Oryctolagus cuniculus: one gene and its partners. The protein of the gene in region 2 interacts with the protein of the main gene of each other region in a pairwise test. Links are inferred from orthologs where the notes say so. Each region holds a gene or a part of one and is shown on either strand. Other genes may lie near its edges. The genes, in order: GET4, GET3, GPX7 and ASPH.

What was found.
Region 1: the proteins of GET3 (region 2) and GET4 interact in binary tests that used the Homo sapiens proteins (3 or more experiments, as listed by UniProt). The link is inferred for Oryctolagus cuniculus from reciprocal best matches to the Homo sapiens genes GET3 and GET4.
Region 3: the proteins of GET3 (region 2) and GPX7 interact in binary tests that used the Homo sapiens proteins (3 or more experiments, as listed by UniProt). The two-hybrid records come from large-scale screens. The link is inferred for Oryctolagus cuniculus from reciprocal best matches to the Homo sapiens genes GET3 and GPX7.
Region 4: the proteins of GET3 (region 2) and ASPH interact in binary tests that used the Homo sapiens proteins (3 or more experiments, as listed by UniProt). The two-hybrid records come from large-scale screens. The link is inferred for Oryctolagus cuniculus from reciprocal best matches to the Homo sapiens genes GET3 and ASPH.

Annotation. Positions count from the first base shown.
Region 1 is NC_091450.1:36,346,397-36,352,193, reverse strand, and holds the start of GET4 (Golgi to ER traffic protein 4 homolog), read right to left. Parts: upstream 4,311-5,797; 5' UTR 4,166-4,310; coding exon 4,017-4,165; intron 2,682-4,016; exon of another isoform or gene 2,571-2,681; coding exon of another isoform or gene 2,548-2,570; intron 337-2,547; coding exon 258-336; intron 1-257. UniProt on the Homo sapiens protein: As part of a cytosolic protein quality control complex, the BAG6/BAT3 complex, maintains misfolded and hydrophobic patches-containing proteins in a soluble state and participates in their proper delivery to the endoplasmic reticulum or alternatively can promote their sorting to the proteasome where they undergo degradation.
Region 2 is NC_091447.1:62,268,752-62,274,847, forward strand, and holds the start of GET3 (ATPase GET3), read left to right. Parts: upstream 1-2,160; 5' UTR 2,161-3,449; coding exon 3,450-3,610; intron 3,611-4,611; coding exon 4,612-4,759; intron 4,760-6,096. Other genes in the region: TRIR (telomerase RNA component interacting RNase), read right to left, coding at 1,620-1,967.
Region 3 is NC_091438.1:120,294,976-120,301,019, reverse strand, and holds the start of GPX7 (glutathione peroxidase 7 precursor), read left to right. Parts: upstream 1-2,276; 5' UTR 2,277-2,314; coding exon 2,315-2,449; intron 2,450-6,044. UniProt on the Homo sapiens protein: It protects esophageal epithelia from hydrogen peroxide-induced oxidative stress. It suppresses acidic bile acid-induced reactive oxygen species (ROS) and protects against oxidative DNA damage and double-strand breaks.
Region 4 is NC_091437.1:86,913,687-86,918,062, reverse strand, and holds part of ASPH (aspartyl/asparaginyl beta-hydroxylase), read left to right. Parts: intron 1-1,706; coding exon 1,707-1,857; 3' UTR 1,858-4,376.

The DNA of each region.
Region 1 (5,797 bases), on a different chromosome or scaffold from region 2:
ACCCTGACAACACCCGCCGGCACCCCGACAACACCCACCAGCACCCCGACAGCGCCCACTAGCACCCTGACAACACCCACCAGCACCCCGACAATGCCCACTAGCACCCCGACAATGCCCACTAGCACCCTGACAACGCCTGCCGGCACCCCGACCACACCCACCAGCACCCTGAGAACACCCACTAGCACCCCGACAGTGCCCACCAGCACCCTGACAACACCCGCCGGCACCCCCTGGCCATCGCCGACACGTACTTGGCCGTGGCTGAAGAACAGCAGAGCCCCCGAGTACAGCAGCTCGCGGGCCTCTGTGTGCTTGCCCTGGGACACGTACCTGCGGGAGAGAGAGCAGCGTGAGAACAGCCCGGGCACCCACAGCCCCGGAAGTGGACCTGCGCCCCCGCGGGCTCTCGGGAGCACGCCGCCGGGGAGACGGGGCGGGCAGGCCCCGTCCACACACAGGGCAGCAGTCCGGCGGCCTCAGCCGCGCCACGCCCTGTCCACCTGACGAGGGACGGCAAAGGGCAGGGGTGCGACACGGGGCTCCCGGCCAGCGACGCCCCCAGCCTCCGCGCCCTGCACGTGCTGCCGAATCCTCGGCACACCCTCACGGGGACCCGGGCCCAAAGGCACGGCGGGGGCACCGAACGGCGCCATCTCCCCTGACCTGACCGGCGAGCACGTTTCTTGCCCACGTGCGACAGCACTCAATTCTGGATTTCTGAGGCCTGCGACAAACTCACCCCGCCGGCCACCTCTTAGGAGACCCAACCACGAGAAAGAACTCTGGGAAGGCGAGGAACCCGACTCCTGGGGTGGGGTCCTGGCCGCGAGGGGGCTGCCGGGACCACAGTGCCCAGAGCAGGGGCCCAGCAGCCCAGGTCCAGTGGGGGGTGGGCAGCCTCAGGACTTCCGCACTGCCGACAGGGCTCAGCCCGCCTGCGCCTCCTGCCCGGTGAGGGTCCCGGCGTCCACCGCAGAGCCCCAGGACCCCGCTCCCAGGTGGGTGCCGACCGCGGGCCACGGCAGGCTCACTCCCTCCTTGCTCTACAAACAAAGCAAAACCCCCACAGAACACCAGAACCCACGCGCTGATGCCCACGACGCAACGTGGGAGTGCCCCAGGACCGGCCGGGCCTTAGCACGGGCTTGCTGGAGGCAGCTCTGTCCGTGCTCAGCTGTTGGGAACAGCCAAGCAGGGACGTGGACACAGGCCAAGGCGCTGTGGAGACGGTGTCCGACCCTGTGCCGTGGCAGGGGCTTCAGTGCTGGCGTGGCCAGGACACAGCCGCCCGTGTCCCCAGCAGCTCTTGGGACCAGCTCACCGGGGAACTGGGTGTGCACCACACACCCTCCACGGGGCCTGAAACCCAGCTCGCTCCTCGTCCACGGGGACAGGTCCAACAGCCACCGGCTGAGCAAGCGACCCAGGAACCAGGGCCTGAGCTGCCGGCCCCTCCCCGCTCCCTGCAGCCACGGGACTGAGCAGGCGAAGACCCCGTCAGCAACAAAGCGGACTAAGACACCCGCAGGGACCCCCACCCCGCTCAGCGCATTCAGAATCCAAACAGGCGCCCCCACCGTGACTGCACTGCGCGGGGTTCTAGAAGCCCATCAACCCAGAAGGGCTGACGGCAGCCACTGGGGGGCGGGCCCGGCCCACGTGACTGGTTGCCTGGCAATATGCAAACGCATGACACACATCAGAACCCCAGCTAACTCGGGGACTCCCACTTCCGAGAGGCCGCACTCCCAGAGTGCACCTGGGGACGCGTGTGCTGCGTCCCGGGCCCCAGTGGGGGGTCTGGCAGAAACGCAGCCTCCATGGACGCACTCGTCCACTGAGGGTCACACCAGGGCCAGGCCCGCGGTGCCGCCTGGAGTTCCGGCTGCCCCAGCTCTCCCCAGCTCCCGGCTCACGGCCTGAGAAAGCCGTGGACGGCGGCCCAGTGCCGTGTCCCTGCACCCACGTGGAGACCCAGACGGAGGGCCAGGCTCCTGGCTTCAGCCTGGCCCAGCTCTGCCTTGGGAGTGAACCAGCTTTAAGGGTTAACAACCAAGCCCTGCGGACCTGGCCCACGCGAGGCAGTGTGTTTCCAGGAAGAGACACTCGTGATCAGTCACCATGCAAACACCTACATCCCGGTCCCCAAGACCAGCACCCGTCTCATCTCGGGGGCGCAGGTCCAGACGGGACGGTGCGCACACACCCCACACCACTGCTCCCCGAGGAGCGATGCAGCCCGCGGGGAGCCAGCGCGCCCAGAGCAGCCCACGGCAGCCGCGGGGGAGCCAGCGCGCCCAGAGCAGCCCACGGCAGCCGCGGGGAGGCAGCGCGCCCAGAGCAGCCCACGGCAGCCGCGGGGAGGCAGCGCGCCCAGAGCAGCCCACGGCAGCCGCGGGGAGGCAGCGCGCCCAGAGCAGCCCACGGCAGCCGCGGGGAGCCAGCGCGCCCAGAGCAGCCCACGGCAGCCGCGGGGAGCCAGCGCGCCCAGAGCAGCCCACGGGCATGGACATGACCACCCCGGGGTGAAGGCTGCACGACCTCAAACCTCCTCCTGAACCCATCTCCTCGCAGCCTGACTGCCGGGCGTCACTGCACAGAAGGTTCCGGAACCAGACCTGTCTCAGGTCACTTAGGAGAGCGACTCACACCTCCTCCTCGGCCAGGAGCCCGGGACTCCACACACACTCCCTACCCGGGGCACAGCAGGGCTGTGGAGGCAACAGACGCCAAGGCAGGGCGGTGCTGGCCTCGCTCGGTCCTCTTCCCGGGACAGGGGTGCTGGGCCCACGCTCAGTCCTCTGCCCGGGACAGGGGTGCTAGCCCCACGCTCGGTCCTCTTCCCGGGACAGGGGTGCTGGGCCCACGCTCAGTCCTCTGCCCGGGACAGGGGTGCTAGCCCCACGCTCGGTCCTCTTCCCGGGACGGCGGTGCTGGCCCCACACTCAGTCCTCTGCCCGGGACAGGGGTGCTAGCCCCACGCTCAGTCCTCTGCCCAGGATGGGAGTGCTGGCCCCGTGCTCAGTCCTCTTCCTGGGACGGGAGTGCTGGCCCCACGCTCGGTCCTCTGCCCGGGACGGGCGGTGCTGGCCACGCTCGGTCCTCTGCCCGGGATGGCGGTGCTGGCCCCGTGCTCGGTCCTCTTCCCGGGACGGCGGTGCTGGCCACGCTCGGTCCTCTGTCCGGGATGGCGGTGCTGGCCCCGTGCTCGGTCCTCTTCCCAGGACGGCGGTGCTGGCCCCGTGCTCGGTCCTCTTCCCGGGACGGGGGTGCTGGCCCCACGCTCGGTCCTCTTCCCGGGACGGGGGTGCTGGGCCCACGCTCGGTCCTCTGCCCGGGATGGGGGTGCTGGCCCAACGCTCGGTCCTCTGCCCGGGACGGGGGTGCTGGCCCAACGCTCGGTCCTCTGCCCGGGACGGGGGTGCTGGCCCCACGCCCGTCCTCTGCCCGGGACGGGGGTGCTGGCCCCACGCCCGTCCTCTGCCCGGTGTCCCCCGGCCGGGGCCTCAGACCCTGCGCCCCCGCGCCCCGCGAAGCCCAGCGACTCTCACCACGGGCCCCAGGGCTGGCACGCACGTCCCACGCGAGTTACCGAGAACCGAACCTGCCCCGAAACTCAGCCTCACGAAACAGCGGGCGCCGGGCCGGGCCTGAGCCGCGGGCTCGCATGGCGGCCACGCCGGCGCCGGGGGCGGGCCGGGCCGCAGGCCGCGCCGAGGGGTCGCCCCACGGTCAGGGCGCCCGACGGCCGTGCCGCCCGCGGGGACGCCCCAGCCGGCTCGCAGCTCGCGGAGGGGAGGCCGCGGCCGCGCCGGGCCGGGTCAGGCCGGGTCAAGCCGGGCCGGCCGCCCGCAGCCCCCCGCCCGCCGCCCCAGCCCCCCGCGCCCGGCCGGCCTCGGCCTCCGACAGGCAGCCGCGCGGACCAATGGGGGCGCGGGCTGGCGCGGCGCGACCAATAGGAGGCGGGCGGGGGCGGGCCGGGCCGGGCGGACGCGCCGCGCCGCGGCTACCTGAAGAAGAGCGTCCGGTACATCTGGTGCGCCTCGTAGTAGTCGCCCTTCTCCACGCTGGCGCGCAGCTTGCCCTCCACGCGCTGGACGCCGCCGCGGTTGCGCGCGCCGTTGCGGGCGCTCTCCTGCTCGGCCATCGCCGCCGCCATCGGGCCGGCGCTCCGCGCAGGGCTGACGCTGTCGCTGTCGCAGGGGCGGTCGGCGGCGACTCCCTCCCGGCTTCCGTCCCGCGGCCGCGCCACGCCCTCTACGGTGGCCGCGAGGAGCCGCACGCAGGCGCGGGGCGCTGCGCGGTGGGCACACGTGACTCAGCAGCCGGGCCGCCTGTGGCGAGGGGCACGTGGCCCGGGGGCGGAGCCGCGGGCTACCACCTGACGCGGGCCGGGCGCGCGCTCGCAGCACAATGGCTGACGCGGCCCTGGACGCTGGCCGCCCCGAGAGCGCGAGGGGCCCGCGCCCACGGGGCCGCCCGGAGAGCGCGAGGGGCCCGCGTCCACGGGGCCGCGGGAGAGCGCGAGGGGCCCGCGCCAACGGGGCCGCCCCAGAGCGCGAGGGGCCCGCGCCCACGGGGCCGCCCCAGAGCGCGAGGGGCCCGCGCCCACGGGGCCGCCCCAGAGCGCGAGGGGCCCGCGTCCACGGGGCCGCCCGGAGAGCGCGAGGGGCCCGCGCCCACGGGGCCGCCCCAGAGCGCGAGGGGCCCGCGTCCACGGGGCCGCGGGAGAACGCGAGGGGTCCGCGCCCACGGGGCCGCCGGAGAGCGCGAGGGGCCCGCGTCTACGGGGCCGCCCGGAGAGCGCGAGGGACCCGCGTCCACGGGGCCGCCGGGAGAGCGCGAGGGGCCCGCGCCTACGGGGCCGCCCCAGAGCGCGAGGGACCCGCGTCCGCGGGTGCCCCGGCCCCTCGTGGAAACCGAGCCGGCGACGAACGCACGGCCGACCATGATGGGGGCACCGCTCAGGCCGAGGGGGCGACTCGTGTCTGGCGGGTGAAGCCGCCGCCTGCAGCGCGTGGGTTCGAGCCCCGGCTCCGCTTCCGGCCCCGCTCCCGCTCACGGCCCGGGACGCGGAGCCGCGGGGTCTCGAGCCGGCGCCCGCGTGGGCTGAGCCGCAGGCGTGGCCACGTCACGGTCACTCCCCTCCCCGGGCCGCCCGCCGATGGCGGGGTGGCCAGCGGGGCAGCAGGCGGGCGGGCAGAGGAGCTCTGTGCCTCCGTCTGCGCCTCCAGTTCTGCCTGTAAATGCAAAGGCGCAGACAACCCGAGGAGAGCGCACGGCTTGCTGGTTTAAACACCACATGCACTGTAAAAATTAAAACTCTTTATTTATTTAAACATTTCAGTAGCATCTTATCAACTGGTGTCCGCGTAAGAAGCATTACCAAAGACGTATTCTGAAAAGCATTTACAAAAATACATTGCACAAAGTCCTATCTTCAAAAATAAATATGCAAAATATGTCCACCCGCTCCGGACCGAGTCTCACGTAGGAGATCCTGGTGCACGTGTGAGCTGTGTCGCCGCGCAGCGCCAGCCCTGAACGCGCTCCGGTCTGCGCGTGCAGAACCGGCAGCGCCGTCACGGCCTTTTCTGAAAACATCAAACTCAACCAGTGGAACTTAGAGAACTCTCAACGCGACGGCCGAACCCTAAGCGCCCTGCAGACACCTGTACAAAGCCTGCGCGGTAGTACAATCTGTGTATCAAATGGTAGTTAGGACCAAACGGGCCGCCGCGCCTGGAGTCGGCGCCCACCAGGACAGCGGCAGCCAGGCGGGGCGCCCCGG
Region 2 (6,096 bases):
AGCTCCGCCAGCCGGCCGACCTGCGCAGCAATCAGAGGAGCACACGCGACTCTTAGCGCCTGCCCTGGGCCCCCCGCCGGTGCCCAGGCAGTCCTGGGGGCCCGGGCTGCCCTCCCAGGGCAGCAAGGGGGAAGCACCCACCACGGTGGGCACTGGCCCTGTCCCCACTCACTCACTCACTCACTCTGCGGAAGAAAGCTTCCCCCCACCACCACCCACTCCTTGCTCTATGAGGGATCACGCACCTAAGTGGCCAGCAGCTGCTTTTATTGAGCGCTTACTGTATACGCCCAAGAGCTGGCGCTGTTTTGTGTCCTTTCCCGTGGCCACTCTGGGTGGAAGGCTATACCCCATCCGCGTTTTAGAGGGGAAATGCCTCATGATGGCAACAGACACTGCAGCCTTGATTCAGGGTCGGGTAAGTCTACACCACTGGACCTTAACCCCCCCCGGCAGAACCCACCCTGTACACTTGGAAACAAATGCCACAGCCAGGCACAAGTGCTACTGCCTCTCAACGGAAGGGTCCTCAGCCACGCCTGTCACCCCTTCCTGGGTCACCCGGGTGTCCCACTGACTGTGAGCCTCTGTCCAGCACTCCCAGGGCTACAGGAAAGCCTGGCACACGCCAAACCACCCCATCTGCACTCCTCCACCAGGGGGAGGGGGCCTGTGCTCCCGGTTAAAAAAAAAAAAAAAAAAAAAACTCAGCATGTTTAACAGATGAGGCCGGGAGAGGCCAGGTCACTTGTCCAAAATTCACACAGCCCCAGCCGGGAGGCCGTTGAACTCGGAATTCAACAGCCAAGATGGAGCAAGCTCCCAGCTGACAGCATCTAGCCCGGGGCCCGCTTAGCCAGTGCGGAGTTCCTGGACCTGGGTCTGAGTGGAGGCCTCCGGAGCGGGACCGCTGTTGGCCCGAGTAGGGACAGGAGGCCGTCTTCTTAAGCAGCCCGAGAGCAGCAACCCTGGCCTGTATCCGAAGATGTCACCAGCATCCCCCACCCCCAGCTCCGACACCCCCCTAAAAAAATGCCTCCAGACATGGCTACGGGAGGGGGCGGCATCTCCAGCTGAGAAGCCCCCGGTTTCTAGCCCGCCCCCCCCCCCATCAGAAGGTGCAGCCCCGCCAGCTCCAGGCCCAGCACAAGGGACCGTGCTCAACACACGGACGCTGGGCAGTCCAGGCGTTTTCCTAGAGTCTCACGGGAAGAGGCTTTATCTAAGGAACACAGTTCAGACTCCACGGGGCTCCAATGTACGCCCCGACCCCGTTCTCCATAACGGGGAGTGGTCCAGAGCCCACAGGCCGGGTTACCACCCGAACACGGATCCTGGGACTCAGGTCTGCCTCAAGCCCGGGGCGCTGCTCCCAATGCAATTCCCGGCTCCCGCTTCCCACGGAGAAGCTCCAGGGGTCCCGACTCCCGCCCAGCCCCCCCCCCCCACCGCGGTTCCCCTCTTGTCAGGAATCCAAGCGCCACATCCTCAGCGGGGGGACCCCAGGGGCCCCTCATCGGGGCGCAGGGCGGCCCTGGATCCCGATCTCCCTTCTCGGGCCCCGACTCCCCCTGCCAAAGGAGGCCCCGGCGCCCGCCCCCACCCCCGCGGCTCCTTACGAAGCTGAGTGTGGGGCCTGGGCCGCCCTTCCTCTTCGGATCCCCTGGGCCCGCGGCGGCGGCGGCCGGCTGGTCGGGTCGCGGCGGGCCCGGGGGCGGCTCCTCCTGCCGCTGCCGCTGCTCCTCCTCCATCTTCCGCTTGAACAGCTCCAGGAAGCTGCCATCGTTGGCGAACAAGTTCACGCCGCCCGACACCGGGCTCGAACCAGCGCCCGACACCTCCTCGTCCCCGCTCTCGGACGACGTCCCCGGCCCCGACTCAGCCCATCGGCTCCCGCTGCCCCCGCCGCCCGCGGGGCCCGGCGCCTCCCGACCTGGAGGCTCCGCCCGTCTCCCTCGGGCAGCCATTTTGTCGCCAGGTGCCGCGCAAAGGACTCCGGGAAGGCCGCTCCGGCCCCGCGCTTGGCGCCCGACTCGCTTCGTCCCAAGCAATGCATGCCGGGAAGAGCGGTCTGGCCCTAAGAGCGTCCGCAGTGGGGGCGGGGCAGGGGGCGGGGCGGCCAGGGGTGTGCCTAGAAAGGGGCGTGGTGAAGAGAGCCACGCCCCGAGGGTTTTCCTCTTCTAAGGGCCCGGGCCGGCGTCGCTCTGAACCTGCAAGCTACCCAGGAAATGCAGCTGGCTATCGGGATCGGGGTTACCGCTCGGGGCTAGGGCCGCAGTTGCTTTCCAGGGGTAGAATCCCTGTCTAGCTCCAGGGATAATCTCCTAGGAGAAGGGCTCCGTTGGGGGCTTGTGAGTTCCAGCTGATGCCTCCGAACTTCACTCCCCGACCAGGTCTACAGGGTCTCTGGGTTGGTGTCTCTGGGTTGGGTACCTAGCTCTGGGATGAAGCTCACATGTGGAAATGGGGGAAACAGCTGGCTCCGTGGAGCTGGGGTTCTTGTCTGGGGGGGGAAAAGTTACTTAATGGGCTGGAGTACTCAGTAGAAGCTAGGGGTGAGGGGCGGGGAGGCTTCTAGGCTGCAGTCCCCCGCCTTCTAAGTTTAAGAAAGTTCTGGACGCCCGGAACCTGGGATCCCCGGGGCAGAGAGTTTCCAGCAGGGAATTCGCGGAATTGGGAGTCTTCTCCCTGGAACAGGCCGGAGAAGGTTTTCAAGAACTAAGAGTGATTTTACGACCAAAAGTTACAAGATGGTCCCTCCCTGCCCAGCAAGGCGGTGGGGAACGGGGCGGCTCAGGCCCGCACTGGACAAAGGTCTGCGGACCCCTACCCACAACCGAAGTCCTCTTCCCGCAGCACTGAGACCGGTCTCCAGTCCCTTCATCAGCTCCTCCACGATTGGTCTGCGGTAAGAGCCGGGTGGCTCACAGCCAATGGAATAACAGAAGGGGCGGACCTGAGACGAGGTTGCCCCCAATTTGCAGAAGAGGGAGGGAATGATGGACGCGACGTAGAGCCTATGGAGTGAGGCCAGGGCGGACCGGGGATTTAACTTCACCGCAAGGGCTTGGACGGGGTGTTTGGCTGGTTGCTAAGGAGAGGCTGGCGGCTACCGGGATGTGAAAGTGATTGGTTGAAGTCAGAAAAGAAGCTGCCAATGAGAGGAGGGCTGCAAGACTTAGGGCCCAATCACTGGAGGGGAGTAGTCTGGACCGTACCAATATCTCCATTAGGCAGGGAGAAGCCGTAGAAAATTTTAGATGAGAGGTCTGCTAGATGAGCCCTGAAAGCGGAGGAGAGTGAAAATATAGCTTCTATTAGACCGTTAGAGGCAAGCTACGAGAAAATGAATTCAGTCTTCTGACCTCAAAGCAGCGGTAATAGGGAATTTCCCCCCCGTGGGTGTTCTGCATGGTGCGCTCCGCCCGATCACGTGAGCCGGTTCCAAGATGGCGGCGGGGGCGGCCGGGTGGGGGGTTGAGGCGGAGGAGTTCGAGGATGCACCTGATGTGGAGCCGCTGGAGCCCACGCTGAGCAACATCATCGAGCAACGCAGCCTTAAGTGGATCTTCGTCGGGGGCAAGGGCGGCGTGGGCAAGACGACCTGCAGGTAGCGAGGCCGCGGCGGGGAGCCGGGGAGGCGGGTGGGATGTACCACCGGGCGAAGGGGAGACCGAGACACTGGTCTTTCCACGCGGGGCCGGCGAGGGGGGTGGGGGGGGGTCTTCCAGTTACCCTTCCCGAAGCTGCCTCCCCAGTGTGGGCCTGGCGCCCCTCGGAGCTGAACCATGCCTGCTGGGGCTCCCGTGAGCCCGGCGCACGGGGCAGCGAGGGGGATGGGGGAAGGAGCTCTTCGGGGTCCCCACCAGCTGGACCGTTCCCGGGTTTGCCTGGTAGGCTGAGGGACACCTGGGCTAGCTGTCCTGGCCTAGCGAACCCTGCTGAGTGTGAGAGTGGGAGGAGGAGGAGGAGAAAGCCCATGATCAGACTGCCCCCGTCAGCTGGGGGGAGGGGGTCTCTGGAGCAGCAGATGAGTTAGAGTTGACAGAGGGGGCACAGACGCAAACCTTGCTGACCGGGCAGCTGAACCAGTGCCACCCGGTGCCCAGCAAAGGAACAGGCGCCAGGCTGGACTTGGAGCAGTCAGCACGCGAAGCCTAAGACCCCCGCCCTGCAGGGACCTGTACACGTGTCTTTTTATTGTTGTTGTTTGTTTTGAAATATTTATTTATTGAAAGAGTTAATAGAGAAAGGGAGAGACAAAGAGAGGTCTTCCATCCACTGGTTCATTCCCCAGATGGCCACAATGGCCAGAGCTGGACTGATGAGAAGCTAGGAGCTCCTTCTGGGTCTCCCGTGTGGGTACAGGGGCCCAAGCTAACTAACGGATGGGAAGTGAAGCAGCTGGGGCTCGAACCCGTGCCCATATGGGATGTGCTGCAGGAGGTGACAGCTTTACCCGCTACGCCACAGCGCCAGCCCCAACGTCTCAAGTCTCCTTTTAGTGCGGGTCCCTGCTCCTGGGACCCCACAGCTTCCCCCCTTGCAGACCCCGGGAGGGAGCAGAGGTCAACTCCCTTCCTCCCCATCCAACCACCTTTCCTTACCTAGCTGCAGCCTGGCGGTCCAGCTGTCCAAGGGGCGGGAGAGCGTGCTCATCATCTCCACAGACCCCGCCCACAACATCTCCGACGCCTTCGACCAGAAGTTCTCCAAGGTGCCTACTAAGGTCAAAGGCTATGACAACCTCTTTGCCATGGTGAGTGGTCGCCTTTTCCTCGGCTTAACCACGGGGCGGGGCGCAAGGGAGGACCCTTGGGGGAGCAGGAAGGAGGCCAGTGTTGAGTGGGGCTTGGGGAGCAAGAGAACTTGGGATCTACCCAGAGGCAGGGAGGGCCGGGCTTTGCAGGCTGCGGCAGGCAGCTTGTCCTTGCTTTGGTTGTTCTGGTTGGCTGTTTTATTTCTCCGAAAGGCAGAGAGACCAAGAAGGAAAGAGAGATTTTCCATCCACTGCTTCACTCCCTCTCCTGCCCCAAAAGGCCCCAACAGCCGTGTTTGGTGAGCCACGCTGAACCCACAGGCCCAGAACTCTATCTGGGTCTCCCACATGAGCGGCAGGGACCCATATACTTGTCCCATCCGTCACCTGCTGCGTGCCAGGGTGCACGTTGGCAAGGAAGCTGGAATCATGAATGGAGCTGGGACCCAAACCCAGGCACCGTGGCCCGGGATGCAGGCGTCCCACCCGCTGCACCACGCTCCCAGCCCCAGCTCCCTGGTCTGATGCAGAGTTGTTAGGTATCTTCAGGGCAGCGTCAGATGCCCAGAGTCATGTTTCAGAAAGTTCCTCTGCCTGCTGTGGGGAGACTGGATTGGGGGAGAGAGAGAAAGCTGGAGTGTGTCCCGGTTAGCAATGGCAGCAGCCTGCACGTGTGTGGAGGCAGACTACTGAGAGACAGTCAGGCATGGTTGAGATGTGTTCTCAAAGGAGAGCATGGTTGTAATGAGGGTGGGACAGAAATAAAACAGCTCTCTCTCTCTTTTTTTTAAGAAAAATTTATTTGAGAGGCAGAGTTACAGAGAGATGGAGACAGAGAAGTCTTCCTCCCGGCTGGTTCAGTCCCCAGATGGCTGCAACAGCCAGAGCTGAGCTGATCCAAAGCCAGGAGCTTCTTCCAGGTCTCCCCTCAACGTGGGTGCTGGGGCCCAAGCACTTGGGCCATCTTCCGCTGCTTTCCCAGGCCATAGCAGAGAGCTGGGTTGCGAAACAGACAAACCAAAGCTTGGTCCCAGGCACTCCGATACCAGGGTGCTGGGGTCCCAAGCAGTCAGCACCCTGACGCCTGCCCCCAGGAGGGGACTGTCTGGCCCCTGGCATGCATTGGTTTCCTGATGGGGAGGAGCCAGGAGGAGGGGACTGCATGCAGGTGACAGCCAGGAGGGGTGCTGGGTATGAACAGGTTTTACAAAGAAGAGAAGGCTGAGACGAGAATGGAGTGTGGAGGAGAGGGGTCAGAGGCAATGACTCAGCTGGAGGGGGGGCAGGCTTCCTGCAGGGGAGTGACCCCTGAGGCCACTGAGCTGGGGGGGGGCTGG
Region 3 (6,044 bases), on a different chromosome or scaffold from region 2:
TGGGGTTTCCTCTGTCCCAGCATCTGGATCATAACTGCACCTGTTGTCTCCCACCCACTCTTCCCACAACAGCCAGTGGTATCTTTCTGCAACACAGGACCCCCTGTGGTACTGCCCCACTGTAAAATAAAGCACAACTCCTTTTTGGCTTCTTGATTTGATGTCATTTCCACCTGCTTCCCCGCCTTCCCTTTCATCCTTCCATCTTTCTTTTCTTTTCTTTTTTTTTTCTTTTTTTTTTTTTTTTTTTTTTTTTTTGACAGGCAGAATGGACAGTGAGAGAGAGAGCCAGAGAGAAAGGTCTTCCTTTGCCGTTGGTTCACCCTCCAATGGTCGCTGTGGCCAGCGCACCGCGCTGATCCAATGGCAGGAGCCAGGAACTTATCCCAGTCTCCCATGGGGTGCAGGGCCCAAGCACCTGGGCCATCCTCCACTGCACTCCCTGGCCACAGCAGAGAGCTGGCCTGGAAGAGGGGCAACTGGGACAGAATCCAGCGCCCTGACTGGGACTAGAACCCAGTTGCTGGCGCCGCAAGGCGGAGGATTAGCCTAGTGAACCGCGGCGCCGGCCTCATCCTTCCATCTTTCTTCAACAAAACTACCCGTCTTCGTTTCTCATTGCACTTTTTTTGTTGTTGTTGTTCTTCAAAATATCTCTTGGCCAGTGCCGCGGCTCACTTGGCTAATCCTCTGCCTGCGGAACCGGAACCCCGGGTTCTAGTCCCGGTTGGGGCGCCGGATTCTGTCCCAGTTGCTCCTCTTTCAGTCCAGCTCTCTGCTGTGGCCCGGGAGGGTGGTGGAGGATGGCCCAAGTCCTTGGGCCCTGCACCCCATGGGAGACCAGGATAAATACCTGGCTCCTGCCATCAGATCAGCGCGGTGCGCTGGCCGCAGCACGCCGGCTGCGGCGGCCACTGGAGGGTGAACCAACGGCAAAGGAAGACCTTTCTCTCTGTCTCTCTCACTGTCCACTCTGCCTGTCAAAAAATAAAATTAAATTAAAAAAAAGAAGTGGAGCAGCCAGAAAGAAGTCAAACAGGCACTCCTCTATGGAATGTGGCTTTTTCAAGTAGCTGCCTAACCCGCTGTGCTAAAACACCAGCTCCTAATTACAAATTATTTAATGTCTGTCTCTCCCTCAATAGGGATCATGCCTATCTTGCTTATCACTGCATGAGCATCACCCAGAGCAGAACCTGGCACAGAACACTCAAGAAGTGTTTGCTGATTGTCTACAGGAGTGCTTAGTCTTTACAGGACACACGATCTCCCCCTTAGTTGGCTTCTTTTACACCAGCCTGGGGGTTCCTGCAGGGACTGGCACAGGGTTGGCTGCCAGCCCCATGCTTGGCACTTTGTGGGCCTCACAGGGAGAAACTGTGATTTGCTTCCCAAATACCCCATCAATGACGACCTGGGACATAGTTGCTGGTAGTGCTGTCAGTATAAAGCCTTTAGCTGTCAGCTCCTACAGGGGTAGGACCATCTTGCCCCTGTCACACCCCTGCCCAGATAGTTCCACATCTAATGAATGCGTGGATGAAGACAGTGGCATTAGGCCTGGCCATCTTAACTCATCTGGGGGGAAAAGGGCTCCTATGGGCCATTCTAGCTCCAGAGTCCCTGCCGGGTCAGCCAGGACAGTCCTAGAATCTGCACGGAGCTCTCCACTCCTGCCTCTGCCACTCCAGGTGTGGATCCCAAGGGTGCCCCCTCATTAACATCCTGCTCTACAATCCCCATCCTACACTCTGCTTCCCAGGAACCCAACCCCCAGTAGGCCGCCAGCTTCTCCAAGCAGTCCGTTCCTGGAACATTCATTCAAATCCCTAAACGTGTATGCTCCATTCCGCTGTCCGTGAGTCGCATTCATTTTTTCAATGGCTGGAGGGCCTAGGGACTGGAAGGCTAGGAAGGCTAGCCCCGTTACACAGACGGACAAACTGAGGCCTCAGGGGTGGAGTAACCGGCTCAGGGGCGCTGCACTGAATGAGCAGCTCAGGTCTCAGACCAGATTTCTGTTTCTCGTTCTGCACTAAGTTGCTGCCTCCTGGGGCACGCAAGAGCCCCACGAAGAAAATTCTAGCCTCAGTGGTCAGAACCTAAAAGCCTGGCTCTGGGGTCCGGGCCCCGGGGCGCATTCCAGAGCTTTTGTAGGACCGAAGGGGAAACTGAGTTCCGGAGCCCAGTGCTCGCTGGAGGAAAAACGAGAAGGGGGCGCGTCCTGCCTCGCGGGGCCGCCTCCTCCCGCCCCCCACGCCGATTCCCCACGCCTGGTCTTTGGCCTTGCATCGCCGCCCCTCGGAAGAGAGCCATGGTGGCGGCGGTGGCGGTGGCGTGGCTGCTCCTGTGGGCCACGGCCTGCGCGCAGCAGGAGCAGGACTTCTACGACTTCAAGGTGGTCAACATCCGGGGCAAGCTGGTGTCGCTGGAGAAGTACCGCGGCTCGGTGAGTGCGTGTCCGCTGCGGGGTTGGGACGCCGCCCTGCAGGCCTGCGGGGGGCGCCGGCGGCCTGGGGCCCTGCCGGGTGTGGCTCTGGCCGCTCAGCACCCGGACTCGGCTGCCACCCGCACCGGGGCCTTCTGTCCGCCCCGGCGCTCGGAGCTGGGAGCCAGCCGTGTCCGTCCCGCGACTACGTGGCACGGCCCCTGCGCGCAGCGAAACCCGAGACTCGCAGCCCGCGCCCACTTCGCTCCCGGCGGCCCGGGACAGCGGCGTCCGGCCCTGGCAGGCAGGCCCAGCCTTTGCCATCCGCGCGTGGGAAAAGTCACTTTAACACCGTGCGGCCTTTGCCTCTCCGTCCCCGGGTTCCACGTTGGGAACTGGGCAGTTGCTGATGCGGAGTCAGTGAGAACACTGGAGAGCAATGTGCGGGGTGAGGGCGGTAGCATTTTAGGTGCACGGGGGACCTTCCCACGGCCCATCCTGGAGAGATGGGAAGCGTTTGCACGAGGCCATGCGGCACTAGGCGGCCACCAGCCTGGAGGGGAGAGCACTCCCCTCTCCCTCCCTCCTGGCGAACTCTGTGCAAGGCAGCGCAGGGCGGAGACCCTGAGACTGAGACCCGGGAGCTCTGCAGGCGGGCTGGCTCCTCTTTACCAAGAAGGAATCAGCTCTGAGAGGCGACAGGGGGTCAGGGAGGGGCGTAGCTGGGCGCAATCCTTGATATGAAAGTGCATTTTTGCGGGACTAAAAAGAACATTCCAGACAAAGGGAGTTAACTGTCCTAGTCCAGGCTCAGCAGCCAACAGCCAGAAGGGAGGGAGGGGTAGGCCCAGAGGGATCATGGCAGGCCTGGAGGGGCCTCTGATACTGCCCACTGCTGGCAGAGGCCGGAGTGAAGACCTCTTCCAGGCTGCTTCCTAGATGGACCCGGGGACCCCTGTGGATAGACCACAGGAAAATGGAGTCAGCCTTCTCCTGGGCGCAAGGCCATCTCCAGGGAAGAAAGTATTGGAGAAAGCTTGCTGGAGTCCTGGGGACAGTCATTCCTGTCCTGACTGTCCCCGGGTGTTGTTCCACTTGAGACAACCGCGTAAAAGCTCTTAGAAAACTTCAGAGTGCTCTGTCCCAGGACAGGAGCCTCATCTAGGACTCAGGGCACCGAGCCAAGGCAAGTAGGGCCCTTTCCCATTCACACTTTTCCTTCTCTCTGTGCCGTCTCACCAGAGAGCTCCAGAGTTAGCACGGACCAGCTCTGCTGCTCATTAATTCATCGTTTATTACTGAGTGCCTACTGTATACTAGAAACCAACCCAGACCCTGGGAATACAGAGGTGAACGTAACAGTTTTCTTCTTTATTGGAACTTATCTGTGGGAGAGAGACAGTTAACAAAGAAGCGATAATGAACAAGGTGATTCTCAGTAGTAACAAGTGCTAGGACAAAAACAGTCCGGGGAAGCTGTAAATGGGGCTAAGAGTTAGGCCAAGCTAGGTCTGCTGCCTGGAAAATATGCTCATTCAGTTACCTGCACACATGTTCCAGCTCCTGTTACCTGGCTGGCATCCATGAGTAAGAGTGACATGGTTTATGCCCATGAGCTAATTAGGACTTAGACCAGTGTTGAGTATAGGTGTGCGGGTGACCACTTAGGTGTGTGCTTGTGTATCATATGGGGTTGTGTAGTGTGGCCTGCAGGTGGTATGTGTGTGTGTGAATGCTTTATTTGCTTGCTTTGTATGCTTCAGAGTCTGCTTTGTAAGTATCTATGTAAATTAAGTAAATGTTGGTGTGTGTCTGTGTTTTGGTCTCTAAAAATCAATCAGTGGGTTGCAGGGATGGAACTAGAAGCAAGATTTCCCCACTTCCAACAGCGTGGGTAGACACACAAGGTGTGGGTTCATAAAGATAAGCAGCTTTTAATGTTCTTATCTGTAATGCTCCTGGAAGACCCCAGACTGGGGAAGAGAATGAAGAGTCCCAGTTTCTCACCAGCCAGGGCAGAACGGGGCAGATGCTGCCCACTAATGGGGGAAGCTGTTCTAAAGCCTCTGGCCCCAGGGAATGGGTCTTTGGGGTAGAGGCAGCATGCCGGAGTTCTGGCGCAGTGTGTAGTCAGCTAGCCCAGTAGGCTCTCAGCTAGGGGTGATTTTGCCCCCCAGCCCAGGGAACACTGGATTATGCCAGGAAACATATTTGATTGTCAAGACTAGGCAGCTAGTGGGTAGAGGCCAGGGTTGCTGCCAGACATGCTACAGTGAGCAGGAGAGCCCCATGGAAAAGCAGCGTACAACCCACAATGTCAGTAGCACTGAGGCTGAGAAACCTTTCTTGCCTGGGCCTGTCGAGTGCTCCCCTAACCCTGGGAGGTGTTCCTCTTTTTGGGCCAGCTGGTATAATCCTGACTCTTCACAAACACCAGCCAGGGAGATAGGCAGGGATGGCCAGGCATGGGGTAGGGTTTTTAATACTTTAGGAATATATAGTTAGGGGCTTACAACATAGCATCAGTGCCAAAATTCTAATTGTAGTATTAAAATCCAGGTCTATCAGCCAGCTTTATATATATTGCCTATAAGGCTTTAATAAATTAAGGGATTAGTCTGATGATCAAAACATGAAGTATTGCTGGCAGGGAAGGGATAGAAAGGGAATGTCCTGGGGTCCTGGGGTTCTTAACAAGAAAACCTGTGTCTGCCCAGGTACCCATGCAGCTATTCCTGTGTGTGCACACTCACTCATCCCCGGACATGTCCTGAGACTTTCCCATACACCAGGCCCAGGGAGGAAGTGGATAGCTCCTGCCCTCTGTAGGTTCACCTTCTAGAAGGAAGGCTGACATATATACAGGCAACTACAGAGTACAGTGATAAGTGCAGATTAACTGAGCCAAAAATTAGACCCAGGTCTGCCTTTCTGTTCCTCCACATCACCCCCTGGTGTGTGCCTCTCACTGGGAATGTGTTATGTGTGTGTAAACGTGTGTGATCCATATTTGCTAATGTGTGTTTATGGATGTGCTTACCCACTAATAGATTTCATGTACTTATGCTTACAAGTGTTCATGTATGTGGTGCACATCTGGAAGCCCCTGCATGCTTGATTTCATGTGTGCCTGTGTGCATGTGTTTGTGCATAGGTGGGAGCATTGCACACACATTCACATATGTACAGAGTGTTCTTGTATTTGTAAGAGAGCATTGATGGCCAGAAGAGTCACATATGAGGTTATCTCAAAAAGTTTATGGGAAATGGAATTAAAAGGTTTTCTTGGGGGGCAAGTGTTTGGGGCAGCAGCTAAGATGCCCACATCCCTGAATAGAGTGCCTGGGTTTAAGCCCTAGCTCCAGTCCCAATTCTAGCTTCCTGCTAATGTGTACCCTCTGAGAAAGCAGATGATAGCTCAAGTAGTTGGGTCTCTGCTGCCCATTTGGGAGACTTGGATGGAATTCCTAGCTCCCAGCTTTGGTCTGGCTGAGTCCTGTCTGCTGGGGGCTTTGGGGAGTAAACCAGCAGATGGGAGCTATCTCTCTACCTCTTCCTCTATGCCTCTGTCTCTCTCTGCTTCTAAAATAATTTTTTAAAAGTTCATAGAAAATTT
Region 4 (4,376 bases), on a different chromosome or scaffold from region 2:
CTTTTCTTTTCTTGGTGTTGCCTTTCTTTAAGTTTGATTTTGCATCATGATGAATGCCTCTTCGGTCATTTGCTCCTAAATCTCTGTTTTCTGTCCTTTGTTACCTTTGGATAGAATTCTAATGGAACTCTTGTAAACCTTCAGAGGAAGGTAAAGACCCAAGCAACACTTCTTTTTTATTGAATGTAAGACATTAGGTTAGATGTGTGACAGCACAAAGGGCAGGGCCAGGTGGGGCAGGGGCAGGGGTGTTGTATGGGTGAGTAGCAGAAGTATTGCTTTAATGAGCTTTTAACTTGTAAATGTGAATTACTTTATCAGTCACTTTAAACAAGTTGGAAGTTTATTGTCGAAATCACACACTTTGTCAGTTATTCTCCACTGGGATGATTTTGCCCCCACCCCCACCCCGGGCCTTTTGGCAGTGACTGAGGAAGTCACACTGGTGTGCAGGTCCTGTCCTACTGCTATCTAGTGGGTGATGTTGCTACAGTATACGAGAGAGCCTGTCCAACAGAGAGTGATCTGGCCCACACATCAGTAGTGCCGAGATCAAGAAGCCCTGCAATACATCATTGTGCTTGATTTATGTTGATTTATCACCTAATAAGAAACATAAAAAGGACATCAGTCATTTTCCCAATAAAAAGGTCTTTATGATAAAGTGATAGTTTGAAATCACATTAGCATATCTATGCCCTAATGCAACTATTTTGCTAATCCAAGATGTAAAATTTCAAGTGCTTAAGTGGAATCTTAAAATATAAAGGAAATTTCATTTTAAAAACATAACAGCATTTAAGATATTAGCAATTAGTATCTATTTTTAATGGAAGGGAGCATTGTCATATAGTTAATAAACTTTCTTTGGATTTGAAAGACCTGGTGTAACTGCCTCCTGCATATTTCCGCCTTGATTGCTTTGTTTAGACTAACACTATATTTAGATCTAAGTAACCATCCAGATCTCTTGAGAGGTAGTACTGGAGGCTCTAAAGTGTTTTGCAACATTGACTTAAAATATTCCATGGATAACCCACTTGCATAGCAGATGACACTAAAAATATACAAAATCCATTCCCAATCTGCCCATTTTCCCCAACCAGTTATACTAGCTTGGAACCACATAATTTGGTTATATGCCTTCTGGTCACTGAGTGTAAGTGAAGACTCAATTCCATAAAATGGAACTTGTAAGCTGAAAGGAAAATCACTTGGTGATGCACAAACCCCTGCCAGGTGTCCTCAGAGGCACTGAGATGCCTGACACCTGGTCCCCACCTGTGGTTCTAAACTCATCTCTGAAAGACCCCGGAGGAAAAGGCCGTGGAGTCCCTAACTGAGGAGCTGTTGCATGCAGGAACTGCCAGGGCATGCGCTCCAGTGCTGGGCTGATCAAGGAGGCCCCTCCGAGGGTGAGAGCCAGCACCAGTGTGGTGCCTGTGATGCTGTCAGTAGGCCCTCATCACCAGTCCCCTGCCCATGGTACATCCTCAATGCGGAGCAATGAAAAATGAATGTTTATGCTAAGAATCCTGAAGTCCTTTCTTTGTCACCAGGGGAGGAATAAATTCTGGCTTGGCGTTCTGGTTAGCTGGTATATCGCAAAGATTATAGAAAGGGCTTCCTGCATGCGGACAGGAATTGACCTCAGGCAGCTGAACCACACAAAGCTGAACTCTAGAATCTGTGTCTCTCTGTTCCAGGACCTGGGAGGAAGGCAAGGTGTTCATCTTTGACGACTCCTTTGAGCATGAAGTGTGGCAGGATGCCTCATCTTTCCGGCTGATTTTCATCGTGGATGTGTGGCACCCAGAGCTCACCCCCCATCAGAGACGCAGCCTTCCCGCAATTTAGCAGGAATTCATGCAGGCTTGGGACCCACTACAGAGAGGTTGTCTTTTTGGCTGTGTCTCCTTGGATGTGAAGAAAGAAGTGTAAACACCAAGACTTTTCATTCCCTGGACAATTTTATGCCTCCTCCTAGGGTTTGAAGACACAAAAGAGAGTATTTGCCTCATTACAGTTCATTTAGGAAACACCTGCGTGACAACACGGACCTTCTGCCTATATCTAAGGTGAACATTTAACAGCCTCTACCTTGCCAGCCAAAGATATTCTTTCCATGTAGAATAACAGGTCTAAATCAACATACAATGAGAACATATGTAGAAACTGTGAATATATTGCTTTAGTTGGAATTTTTCTATGTAGTTATATTTTTCTAGGATAGTCAAACTGTTTTGTCATCATATACCACTACTTTTTGTGGATTTCAATGACAAGCTATGTAAATGCTTTATCTCTAGCTGTTTAATGATAACTTCCCTGGCAAACTGAGATTTCCCTCTTTTAATTCTTTCAGTAAAAGACACTCTTGAATAAAGCAATTTTACTTTCCTAATACAAAAGAGAACACATAATTACACCAATCCAATGCCTGTGAACTATGCTGATCCCTACTTATTATCTGCGTTGAGATCCAGTATCTTAATTTTTCCTCATTATGCTAATGGTGGAAATATTATAAAAATCATAGTTCTTTCTAAGAGGAGTTTTTTTAACATTGAAAAAGGATATGGAATCATTTTTACAGAGAATTATAAAAATACTGAATAGAAATTTTTTAATGCCCAGTATTAGGCCTTGTGTTTGTGAGGGGGTAAAATGCGTAGAAGATGTTCTCTGAGGACTCGGTAGATAGGCGCTGCTAGGGTGTCTGGCTCCTGTCCTTTTTGCTGTCTGTGAGCAGGACCTAGGAATCCAGGGCACCTGCCTACTGTCAATCTATGTGAGGGCATTTGGCCGTGGAGATAACCCCCACAGCTTTGTAAAAACATTAAGGGTACAGAGTGAAAGTCATGAAGGATGCTAGGATCCTCATGCTGGGTGTAGGAGGTGGAGATTGCTCTCCTCTTCTATCTCCCTGGCTCGAGGAACTTCTGCCTTTGAAACATCACTTTGAAAGAACAATAATTATCTACATGTACTGCTAATATTACCCATGACCTAAAAATCACAATAGAAAATGGTGTTGCCCACTCAATCCCAAGATAATCAAATCCCTGATTTAGTAAAGCAGTAATGTATTTGACTGTGTATTTTTAAAATACATGCTAACTAGACATGTTTAAGAATGTAATGATATTCAGGCACTGAATTCTAAGCCAATATGAACAAAAATGCCAAAATGGCACATAGATCACCTGATTGCATTCACAGGTCGAAAAATACACCTGTGCTTTCTTTTTGTTCCAATACTAAGGAGGCTTTCTTTATGTCATTAAAGACTATTTCATGGGGCCAATGTTGTGGCATAGTGGGTTAAGTCACTGCCTTTGATGCTAGCATCCCATGTGGGCACTGGTTCGAGTTCCAGCTGCTCCACTTCCAATCCAGATCTCTGTGAATGTGCCTGGGAAAGCAGCAGAAGATGGCCCAAGTACTTGGGCCCCTGCACCTATGTGGGAGACCAGGATGAAGCTCCTGGCTTCGACTTGGCCCAGCCCCAGCTGTTGGAACCATTTGGGAAGTGAACCAGTGGGTAGAAGATCTCTCTGTCTCTCTTTCTCTCCCTTTATCTCTAATTCTGCCTGTCAAATAAATAAATAAATAAGTCTATGGGGAAAAAATATTTCTTTGGGGCTGGCCTTGTGGTGTAGCAGTTAAGACTGCTGCCTTTAACATCGGCATCCCATATGGATGCCAGTTCATGTCCTGGCTGCCCCACTTCCAATGCAGCTGCCTGCTGATGGCCTGGGAAAGGCAATGGACACAGCCCAGTGTTTGGGTCCCTGTCACCCATTTGGGAGACCTAGATGGAGCTACTGGCTTTGGCCTGGTCCAGCCCTTGCCTTTGTGGGCATTTGGAGAGTGAACGAGTGGACAGATCTCTCTCTGCCTCTCTCTCTCCATCTCTCTCTCTCTCTCTCTCTCTCTCTGTGTAGCTCTTTCAAATAGATAGATAAATGTTTTTTTTTAATTTCTTTAACATAGAAATTGACCCCTTTTCCTTGACTTTATTGATATTGGCCTCAGTAGAAAAATTTTAAAAATATTTCTCCTGTTCCTTCTGTTTTGCCAATGTTCAGAAATCCTACTAAAACAAAGAGGCACAAGAGGGAAACTATCAAATTAATTACCAAAATGAAAAAGAGAAATCAAACTCATAAAAGATAAGACAGTATTTGTGTCCCTCAGAATTTATTGGACAGAGGAAATGACTGACAAAGGGCAATACAATCCAGTGCTCATGGAGTGACATTCGTGTCACCATTGAATTTGGTTCTCGTCAGTATATTGCATACACATAAAGAAATACAAACTAGAAATCATCATTGCTGAACCATCACCTTACATTCATTTAATGAGATTAT